Linked DNA regions of Kluyveromyces lactis. The protein of the gene in region 2 interacts with the protein of the main gene of each other region in a biochemical or structural test. Links are inferred from orthologs where the notes say so. Each region holds a gene or a part of one and is shown on either strand. Other genes may lie near its edges. The genes, in order: RDH54, RAD51 and RAD54.

Region 1 (4,228 bases), on a different chromosome or scaffold from region 2:
AGGTCGTGAGGTTTAACAAGAACTTTGGAAGTATGACCTTCTCTCACAAGCGCTGGTTCCGGAGTTCTGATATAGTCAATTAGCCCCTGCGTTTCACGATCAAGCTTACTCTTGACATTCCTTGAGTTCACCGCTTGCTCTTTCAATGATGGAGGTTTTAAAACTTTAATGACTTTCTCGAATTGCGTTGCCGCAGCCGAGTATGGTCCTGCATTTTCATTTAAAGCAACACTCATGATCGATATAATAGGCACTTAGATCTATTGTTTGGGGTCCTGAATGAACGCTATCCATATAGACTTTAAGAAAGCATCATGGAAGTTGCACACAAAAATTACCATACATGATGATTAGCTTTTATCTTCTGTGGTGTCGACGGATGACAGCAGCTTTGAAAATTGAAGAAGAGATTAATGCCAAGGGAAAGATTCGAAAAGCAGCAATCATTTATTCAACACATCACCCATTTCCATCATATTGTCAATATAGTCCTGTAAATATTTATTCTCCTGTTTTAATTCTTCACAAATCCTTCGTTGTTCTATCGATTTGTTCAACAATAGATCCAATGTATCACGCAAGATTTTGGTTTCTTCGGCCAATTGAAAGCCACTTTCTTCAACATTATCAACGGCTTCAGAAATGTGGTACTCCTCACTTTCAGACATTATAAGTAGTTAGCTATTGTTGAATTGTTTGTCTTCAATCTCCATGTATCAATGTTTTAGTGAACTGGGTTACATATTGCAATATTACGCATTTTTCAAATTTGAAATGTTGGCTTCCAGGGTATGGGGTTCACATATAGAACAGATACAGGAAAAGATACGTAAGAGTAACATAATGTCTCCGGTCAATTGGCAGTACAACCAGGTTATTTGGACAGAGATATTAATGATTGAACTTTGAACTAAAGCATTGTCAACTAACGGGAAATACCGTAGAACAAGAAGGAGTAAAAAAAACCAAAAAAGAATGGTTCCTAGCGGGATCGAACCGCTGATCCCCGCGTTATTAGCACGGTGCCTTAACCAACTGGGCCAAGGAACCAATTTCTTATTGTTTTGAGATTCAGAATCGTATTGGTCCTTTGATTGGTGATATGTTGGGGATGAGTTTGTAGAAAGAGAAGTAATGCATGTTAACGGGTAGAGAAGCTTACCCACCATTGAGGCCTTTTGTATCAACTCCTGTCATTGCTATTACAAAGATCTTTAACCAAGGGAGCAGACGCAAATATGAGTTGTTACTGTTACCCTCATAGCGCTCACGTCAAGATTCGCGTTTTAATATGCATAATGTCAATATAGATCTTAAACGTAAACAACATACATCACATCGCATAACACAGGCAATAGTACGCTCCCCATCTGGTATCAAAGCATTTACTTCAGTGGAAAAGAGCGACAAAGTACAAATAAATGAATCATTATGTCAATAAACCTTTCAAACGTCCACGCATGGTAGGTAGACCTGGAAGAGATACCCTTTCTGAGCAGATACACACCGGCCTTCGGCCAAAGTCTCATCATTCACATACTAAAATTACCAATACCAGCTCTGAAACTGTGAAACTAACGTATGCCGGCCCAAAAAGTTTGAAAACCAGCGTAAATGCACCAGTTGGTGTGTCTAAGTCATCACAGGAGGTTTCTTTATTTACAGCAAATTACAGAAGGGTTACAAATAAGAAGAACAAGACGTGGGATGGTGATGGATACGCCAATATGACAAGCGACGATAAATTGAAGTTTTACAACGAAGCTGGTGTCTCTTTAGGATCAGTTCCAATCAAGGATAGGGATTTATATGAGACCATATGGAGAATCGGATCTACCGAGTTTCAAATCGATTATAGAATAAGCGATCAAGAAGAATTAAGCTCTGTGCAAGACATATGTAAAATCAAAGTCAGTCATACACTTGGAATAACGGATATTCCAGTCGCCAAGAAGCATAAAGCAACCATAGAAAGTAAGCCACCAATACAGACATTCATACCGAAAATAACGACCAAATTCAAACCCCTGAGAAAACACCTAAACGGAGAGCCTAAAGTGCCTCCAGCACAGAAACAACTAGTAGATCAACCAACTGTCAAATCTGCTCTACCACCGCTGAGTCAAGAACTAATTGGGCAGATAACTTATTCGCCGTTGTTTGATCCAGTTTCCATTAAAGATCCATTGATCATGAACAAAACGGAGAATCATAAAGTGAGTGTTATTGTTGACCCGCTATTGTCGAAGACACTAAGACCACACCAGCGCGAAGGTGTCAAATTTCTCTATGACTGCGTAATGAACATGGTACATACAAAAGGTGACGAAAGCATGATTCTCGAGAGAGATGATGACATAAAAGGATGTTTACTAGCAGATGAGATGGGGCTCGGAAAGACGTTGATGACAATTACGCTAATTTGGACACTCTTGAAACAAACACCTTATCCGACTATAATAAACCAGAGAGGAGTAACTCTCGCTGGAGAGATATCGAAGGTCCTCATTGTATGTCCTGTCACTTTAATCGGTAATTGGAAGAAGGAGTTCAAAAAATGGTTGCCTATGAATAGAATTGGAGTGTTGACCTTACACAGTAGGAACTCTCCAACAGAGGATAAGGCTCAAGTGAGAAGCTTCCTAAAAGTTCCCCGAACTTATCAGGTTTTGATTGTTGGTTATGAAAAACTCCTCAGTATCAAGGATGAACTACAGAATGAGAAGAGAAACCTTGATCTTGTTATCTGTGATGAAGGACATAGATTGAAGAATAAAGATTCTAAGATCTTGAAGGTTTTGCAATCATTAGATATTGAGAAGAAAATTGTATTGAGTGGGACACCTATTCAAAATGATCTTGAAGAGTTCTATACAATAATTGATTTTATCAATCCTGGGATTTTAGGATCTTTCGGAAGGTTTAAAAGGGAATATATTTTACCTATCGCCAGATCCAGGGATGTCAATGCTAAACAAAATCAAACTCTGGTAGAACAAGGACTTCTGAGATCCGATCAATTAATTGAGATAACGAAACGGTTTATCTTAAGAAGAACCAATGAAATTTTACAACAATATTTACCACCGAGAACTGATCTCATTATATTTTGCAAACCTACCGCTGAACAAGTAGAGGCTTTTCACAAGATTTTAACCGAAGGGCAGCTAAATTTCAGCAACATGACATTCAACTCTTCATTGGGGTTGATTACTCTATTCAAAAAAATCTGCAATTCCACCCGCTTGATCAAAACAGATCCATACTATGAAGAAAGGCTTAGTCAAGTTCAGACTTCTAGTACCTCTGGAAAATTCACCTCGGGGAAACTTAGAATACTTCTTTCATTATTACATGAGTTGAAAACCAAGACTGACGAGAAAGTAGTAGTGATTTCAAATTACACGCAAACCCTAGACATCATTGAGGGACATTGTAGTTCAGAAGGGTACACTTCTGCACGATTAGATGGAAGTACAGCAACCAAAACCCGTGATCAGATTGTGACATCCTTCAATAATGATCCATCTATTTTTGTTTTCCTTTTAAGTGCGAAGTCAGGCGGTGTGGGACTAAACTTAATCGGTGCATCAAGACTTGTATTATTCGATAATGATTGGAACCCATCCATTGATTTACAGGCCATGTCAAGAATTCATCGCGATGGTCAGAGAAGGCCATGTTTCATTTATAGACTTGTGACAACCGGATGTATTGATGAGAAGATACTTCAAAGACAGTTAATGAAAATAGCGCTTTCTAAAAAGTTCTTGGACAGTGCCACAGATCAATCAAAAAATGATGATGATCTTTTTCAGCAGGAAGAGTTGAAGGACTTGTTTACCATTAATTTGTCCACTTTATCCAATACCCACGACTTAATTTGTAATTGTTCTGGTGAAGTAGAAGTGCTTGAAGAAGAAGAGATAACGGGTACTGATGAAGCCAACGCCCAGCCAGAATACCAGGCTGCTGCGACTCCATCAAACAATCCTCCTGCTTCAATTTGGATCAATGCTCTAGAAGCCCAAAAAATTATAGAGAAGGAGGAGATACTTCGAAATGGAACAAAGTCAGAAATCATGAGAAAATGCCTATTGGGATACAAACATATTGATCCACAAAAGACTAATGACTTAATTGACGAAGCTATGAATAACGTCTTTGATGATGCACGACAGTACATCACTTATGCTTTGGTAAAAGACTCCGTGTAAAAGTTATATAT
Region 2 (3,036 bases):
ATTTGTAGTCGAAAGACTCATTGTGTAAATCAGAATTGAGGATCAACAGAGAGAACAAAATGATGTGACAGACCCTATAGTTCCCCTGAAAGTGTGAGACCTTGTCCTTATGTTCATCGGTCCATTGAGCAGCAAGTTCTTCTAAAATATTGTCTAGCGGAGTAGCTTCTGCGATCAAATAAAGACCATGGGATAGCTTTGATAGAGTAAGATACAACGAAGTCGGCCAAGGTCTCAAAAGGTTCAAAAATTCCGTTAGTACGCGCTTATTCTCCTTTGCACCTAACCAATTCGCATACTGTGTATATTCCAAGGGCCGGTAAGTCTGTTTCAGCATCTGGTCAGCCGTTTGTAGATCTGCATCGTTAATAAACGCATGGATATTCGTCATCTTCGGAGATTCCACTATTGGTGGATCGGACTGTTCATTGCCTACCATCAATCTGTTATGATTCTGGTTCTTATTAGGAGTTATAAACGCACCCATCGATGGCAATTATGGCAATTTTCTGTATGTGATTCTATCCCTACACTATGTATAATCCTCTGCTTAAAGCCCTTTGACATACGCAAAACACCTTTCAATTCTTCTCTATCCAAGGTAGAAGCCAAGGTTCAAGCGGTCAGCGAAGAATTCAAGGATTCCCCCACAAAAAAATATCCGAGACAGAAAGGCTGAACTTATTAATAAGACGTTCTTGAGAACTTGGCGATCAAATCTATCGCTGTTTAATAGTGCCTGATGTAACGGTTGGCCATTTTAAAATTCCTTTTAAGATTTCATTTTGGCAACAATTTCGATATTTCTTTTCATATTATTGCCTAATTCTGATATAAAAGTAAAGCCGCTAAGAAAAGCCGCTAAGGAAAGACGCAGTGAGACAAAGATCAACATCTATTGTACATGATAACACTGCAAGTAATATGGCTTTCTACAAACATATATGGCTCACTACTTTATATTTATCAGTACTATGTAGAAAAGATGGAAGACAGAACAAGCAATGCACTGCATGTGTTACACTTAAACCTTTCGAACTCAGTTCCGGTGATGGTCATGATGGGGAGGACCATGATGAGATAATCTTTCTTGATCCACCACCCACCGCAATATGACATGTGACTGAAGAGTCACGTGCCATGTAAATAAACACTCTTCAGGGACTGTTTACCATTTTAATTTGTTTTGGTTTGAAATTTGAATAAAAAAAACAAAACACCAAAACACGAAAAAGGCTATATAATTTAATTATTAATTACATTACATGAGACATCATTAATCAATTACGTTCACTTTTCTTGGGAGAAGCAGTTTTCTATCCTAGTTGTGAAAGGGTATTGTAGTGGTTATAAGGTCGCTTGAACCAGGCTAAATTGACTCCACAGAATTAGAAATGTCACAGGTGGAAGAAGTTCAGACTACTCAGGGCCATTCTCAGTTGATGGTCTCACGAACCGAAGAACAGATGGAAGATGTTCAGCAAAGAATTCAGGAAACGGATTTTATGGCTGAAGAAGACGATGTGGCTCTAGCCGCCTTTGTCCCAATAGAGAAATTGCAGGTGAACGGTATCACTTCTGGTGATATCAAGAAACTAAGAGAAAGTGGGTTACACACAGCGGAGGCGGTGGCATATGCCCCCAGAAAAGATTTAATGGAGATTAAAGGTATATCAGAGGCTAAAGCTGATAAGTTACTCGCTGAAGCGTCGAGACTAGTGCCTATGGGTTTTGTCACTGCGGCTGATTTTCATTTGCGTAGAAACGAAATGATCTGTTTAACTACTGGATCGAAAAATCTTGATACTCTACTTGGCGGAGGGATAGAAACCGGATCTATCACTGAACTGTTTGGTGAGTTTAGAACTGGTAAATCGCAACTTTGCCATACATTGGCTGTCACATGCCAGATACCTTTGGATATGGGAGGCGGTGAAGGCAAGTGTTTGTACATTGATACGGAGGGTACATTCAGACCGATTAGGTTGGTTTCGATTGCGCAGAGGTTCGGTTTGGACCCTGACGATGCTTTAAATAACGTTGCATATGCAAGAGCTTATAACGCAGACCATCAATTGAAATTGTTGGACGCAGCTGCACAGATGATGAGTGAGTCAAGATTTTCGCTGATTATTGTCGATTCTATTATGGCATTGTACAGAACCGACTTCTCGGGACGTGGTGAGTTAAGTGCAAGACAGATGCACCTTGCCAAGTTCATGAGATCATTACAAAGACTAGCTGATCAGTTTGGTGTCGCAGCGGTAGTGACAAATCAGGTTGTGGCCCAAGTTGACGGAGGAATGATGTTTAACCCTGATCCAAAAAAACCGATTGGTGGTAATATCATGGCTCATTCCTCCACTACTCGTCTTGGATTCAAGAAGGGGAAAGGTCCACAGAGATACTGTAAAGTGGTAGACTCACCATGTTTGCCTGAAGCAGAATGTGTGTTTGCGATCTACGAGGATGGTATCGGAGATCCAAGGGAAGACGATGATTGATCTGATTCTCTTTACCTGGTTATTCATAACACCAAAAAAAAAAGAATAAAAAGAAAAATCCACATTTTTAATATAGCATTCAATTTCCTACGTTGCTAGTAAAACCCCACTGCGTATCTATCTTCTCATTTATTTGTTCATATCATTCGTGTTATAAATAGTCCATAGGGCACGTTATTCTATATGTATATTCATGCAAACCCTCTCTAGTTGTTAAATGCTCGCATAAAACGCATATAATTCCCTCAGCGAAAAGGGACGACTATCCTTTCATTTAAGGGACTTGCATATCATAGCTACAAACACTTCTCCATGTCAGTGTGCTATTAATAGGCTTGACTTCTTTTAATATTCTTTACCTCATCACACCGGAATTCCGAACGTCAACAATCTGAAGCGAAATTTTTGGAAATTTCACCATTTCCACATATAGACAAGAAAGAGTAATTTTGCATTTCTATATAAAACACGTTAACTTTGTAAAACAAAGGTTTGCGAGAGAACATATTCTGGCAAGAAACAGGAGGGACAG
Region 3 (4,198 bases), on a different chromosome or scaffold from region 2:
ACCAAGTACCGGATTACTACGTAGTTGATTGTAGCTAACAAAAACTCCAACGGTGGGGCAAGATAAAGCTCTGTTCCATCTGGCCAAAAATTCGTAACCACAGTCGTCACTCTAACTAGAAACAAATCGGTTGGCACCAAAAACTGGTTCCCCGTTAGATTAGAATGGAAAAACTTTTTGAGAATCTTGCCTCCACTACAACGCTTTCTAGCTCTAAATCGGAGAAACTGTCTTTTTTTTTTTTTTCAAAAAGAACGAAAAATGAACATAATAGAGAAGTCCTTCCAGTTTTCTACGCCTGGCAATGTAAATACGAAGCTAAGGAGTTTGCTTGGAGTACCGAAATGGTACTCCCATCTGTTTTAACTCCCCCTTATGAGGAGAGAAACTTTAATGGAGATTCGATTAGCAGAAACATAAGAAGCTCCGACAATTTCCAGTTTTGAGACCCTAAGTAGTTAGAATATTATGTGAGCGTGTTTTTCTTTGATATCTATCAAGATTTCTTTTTTACTCCTCACCACCTCTCTATTTACATTGAAAGTTTTGCCGAAGGAATCCGAATCTGTCTCCAATAAAGGAACAAACCCCCTTTCCCCTCCTCTTTAAAAAAAAAAGTTTGTAAGTGATTTAACAACCGAGCACTATTATCAAAGATGTAATTGAGAGAATCGGAGGTACATGTCCGTTGGCTCCTAATAGTTGTCAAGAGTTGGCGTGTTGGGAAATTATCGCTACCCACATGGGGTTGTTGGAGACGTATGCGAGATTATACTAAGAACGCTGGAGGTTACCCTTTTCGGAGTTTTTGGGAGTTTAATGTGATTTTGTATCAGGTGACTGACTTCTTTTTCTTTTTTTTCGGAGTGGTCTGAATACAATGTCTTGCCTAGCAACAAAATGATATCGAAGGAAAACTGGGTGAGGGGCTCCGAAATTTGTGGAAGTGCGCTCGTTCCTTGAGGCTTGTCCATCATTAATGTGGTAGGGTAACTTCAATGGAATTTACGATTTCGGAGGTAATCTTTTGTTTTGGTTAACGTTCACGTGAATGTCAGGGTAATGCTTTCTTGTATTTTTCCTTTTCAGCAATGTTTACGTTTTTGATTTTTTGCCACCACGCGTTTTCGTGTTTGCCTCAACTGAAATCTCATCATCATCTTTATTTACAAAACATAAAATACATTACTAAAATGATTAACATGGTGAATGATTATAATGCCCTAGTCTTACTTTAATGTACACACTTAACACCAGGGGATATACCATCGTTTCATTTACCGAAAGACTATGGCACGCCGGAGGTTACCAGACAGACCGCCAAACGGGATCGGTGCTGGAGCTCGTCCAAATTTGAGACCAAGAAGGTTGGACACTAACCAAGCACTGGAAACGTTAACGAAACCTTTCAAAGTTCCGTTTAAAGTTAATAAAACCGACCATGCCAAACGATATGGAGTGAGATCTTCAAGAAGATCTCAAACGACTTATGCAAATATGGATTCTTCCTTAGATTCTGATTTGCACGTTAAAAGGAAAGATGCACTATCTTTATCCAGATTGAATGCAGAGCCATCAAGACTGGATACAATATATTCAACATTAAGACGGTCATTTACCGTACCGATCAAGGGGTACGTTCCAAGGCACAATATTCCGATGGCTTTGGGAACCAAGGCAAAAGTTGTTATACCACCAAGACCGTTGCATGATCCGACAGACGAGCTTGCCATCGTTCTTTATGATCCTACAGTGGACGGTGATATCCCTGAGCAGCATGAAGATTTGGAATCGTTTAGACAAAATGCAGTAGACACTAAGAAGTCTCAAAAGGGGAAGGATTCAGAGTCGCAAGACCAGAAAGCAAAGGAATCTTCGCCCAATTCTGCTCCATCAATTCATCACCCTAAAATGCTATCCAACGGTGTGAAGAATAAAACCCTAAAAGAGCTATTAGGATCTTCTGAAGATAATACATCAAAAAAGTTCCCCAACGTACCAGTTGTGATTGATCCCAAATTGGCTAAGATTTTAAGACCGCATCAAGTTGAGGGTGTTAGATTTTTGTATAGATGTGTTACTGGTTTAGTCATGAAAGACTTTTTGGATGCCAAAACAGTGTTGGACTCAAGCTCTCAATCAATGGAAAAAGCTGATACACAAGCTGATTCTAACATAACAGGTTCGAAATCACCGGTTGAAACTGATGTCTCGTCCCTTAAAGACGTTATTAAAATCAATGAAAATTCTAGAAACAGGGGAGCCTATGGGTGTATTATGGCAGATGAAATGGGATTGGGTAAGACATTACAATGCTTAGCGTTAATGTGGACCATGTTGAAACAAGGTCCGCAAGGTAGGAGATCAATTGATAAATGTATTATTGTGTGTCCATCATCTTTAGTCAACAATTGGGCAAATGAAATTGACAAATGGTTGGGACCAGGTTCTCTTTCTTCATTGGCTATTGACGGTAAAAAGTCCAGTCTAAATAATGGAAATGTGGCGGATTCAGTGAGTCATTGGGCTTCAGCTCAAGGTAGAAATATCGTCAAACCTGTCCTCATCATTTCTTATGACACTTTAAGGCGTAATGTCGAACAGTTAAAGAACTGTGAGGTTGGACTAATGTTAGCAGATGAGGGGCATCGTTTGAAGAATGCAGATTCCTTAACATTCACGGCATTGGATTCCATTAGGTGTCCGAGAAGAGTTATTCTATCGGGAACTCCGATTCAAAATGATTTATCGGAGTATTTTGCATTATTAAATTTCTCAAATCCCGGATTGTTGGGTTCCAGAAATGACTTTAGGAAAAACTTCGAATTACCGATTTTACAGAGTAGAGATTCATTGGCTACAGATGAAGAGGTCACTTTGGGTAAGGATAGGTTGAGACAACTTTCAAACATTGTCTCGAAGTTCATTATCAGGCGTACCAACAATATTTTGGCAAAATATCTACCTTGCAAATACGAGCATGTTATATTCATAAATTTAACACCATTTCAGCAATCTCTATATCAGCATTTCATTGAATCAAGAGCTGTTAAGAAGATCGTTAAAGGGGATAGTAACCAACCGTTGAAGGCAATCGGTTTGTTAAAAAAATTATGTAACCATCCAGACTTATTAGAGCTATCTGAAGACATTCCGGGTTCAGAAGAGTTAATACCCGACGATTATCAATCTTCTGTTGACTCCCGCACTTCAAGAAATAGAAGCGTTATTCAGACAGCTTTTTCCAGTAAGTTTTCGGTCTTGGCAAGATTTTTGTACAAAATTAAAACGGAGTCTAACGACAAGATTGTGTTGATTTCAAACTATACCCAGACGCTAGACTTGATTGAAAAAATGTGTTTTAGTAACCACTATGGCGTATTGAGATTGGATGGTACCATGAACATCAATAAAAGACAAAAGTTAGTGGACCGGTTCAATGATCCGGAGGGACAAGAGTTTATATTTTTGTTAAGTTCCAAGGCCGGTGGTTGCGGTATAAACTTGATTGGTGCCAACAGATTGATTTTATTAGATCCAGATTGGAACCCGGCTGCAGATCAACAAGCTTTGGCTAGAGTTTGGAGAGATGGGCAAAAGAAAGATTGTTTTATCTACAGATTCATTAGTACTGGTACCATTGAAGAGAAGATTTTCCAAAGACAATCGATGAAGATGAGTTTGAGTTCATGTGTTGTGGATGAAAAGGAGGATGTTGAACGATTGTTCAGTTCGGATAATTTGAAGCAATTGTTCAAACTTGATACAAAAACCATATGTGATACCCATGAGACATATAATTGTAAACGCTGTAAGAATGGAAAGCAAATTTTGAAAGCTCCGGTAATGCTATACGGTGACGCGACTTCGTGGAATCATTTGAATCACGATGCATTAGCAAAAACAAACGACCATCTCTTGAAAAATGAATTCAATCACAAAGACATCAGTTTTGCATTTCAATATATATCGCATTGATCTTTCATTTTTTTAAAGTACATTTTAATTTCACTACTATATAGACGCATTAATAAATTCGGTTTCTGGGCGGTTCGGAACAGATAACTCGGTTAATATGAAGAGGCAACTCAAGTTTTCGAGATCTTTGAGCCGATCCTAATTTATATAAATACAGTTTGAATATGGATTTCCATATTAAAGCTAATTTTATTACGAGTATGTTTGAATAGAGTTACAT

Evidence for each region.
Region 1: the proteins of RAD51 (region 2) and RDH54 form a complex in vitro, tested with the Saccharomyces cerevisiae proteins (2 studies listed by BioGRID). The link is inferred for Kluyveromyces lactis from reciprocal best matches to the Saccharomyces cerevisiae genes RAD51 and RDH54.
Region 3: the proteins of RAD51 (region 2) and RAD54 form a complex in vitro, tested with the Saccharomyces cerevisiae proteins (13 studies listed by BioGRID, with this or other methods). The link is inferred for Kluyveromyces lactis from reciprocal best matches to the Saccharomyces cerevisiae genes RAD51 and RAD54.

The regions. Positions count from the first base shown.
Region 1 is NC_006042.1:1,089,688-1,093,915, reverse strand, and holds RDH54 (DNA-dependent ATPase RDH54), read left to right. Parts: upstream 1-1,421; coding exon 1,422-4,217; downstream 4,218-4,228. Other genes in the region: ISC10 (Isc10p), read right to left, coding at 1-236. UniProt on the Saccharomyces cerevisiae protein: Involved in the recombinational repair of double-strand breaks (DSB) in DNA during mitosis and meiosis. Has DNA dependent ATPase activity. Promotes D-loop (displacement loop) formation with RAD51 recombinase.
Region 2 is NC_006041.1:1,797,937-1,800,972, forward strand, and holds RAD51 (recombinase RAD51), read left to right. Parts: upstream 1-1,394; coding exon 1,395-2,504; downstream 2,505-3,036. Other genes in the region: Arf family guanine nucleotide exchange factor YEL1, read right to left, coding at 1-487. UniProt on the Saccharomyces cerevisiae protein: Required both for recombination and for the repair of DNA damage caused by X-rays. Its function may be modulated by interaction with other repair proteins. RAD52 interacts directly with RAD51, via its C-terminus.
Region 3 is NC_006037.1:271,296-275,493, reverse strand, and holds RAD54 (DNA-dependent ATPase RAD54), read left to right. Parts: upstream 1-1,290; coding exon 1,291-3,978; downstream 3,979-4,198. UniProt on the Saccharomyces cerevisiae protein: Plays an essential role in homologous recombination (HR) which is a major pathway for repairing DNA double-strand breaks (DSBs), single-stranded DNA (ssDNA) gaps, and stalled or collapsed replication forks.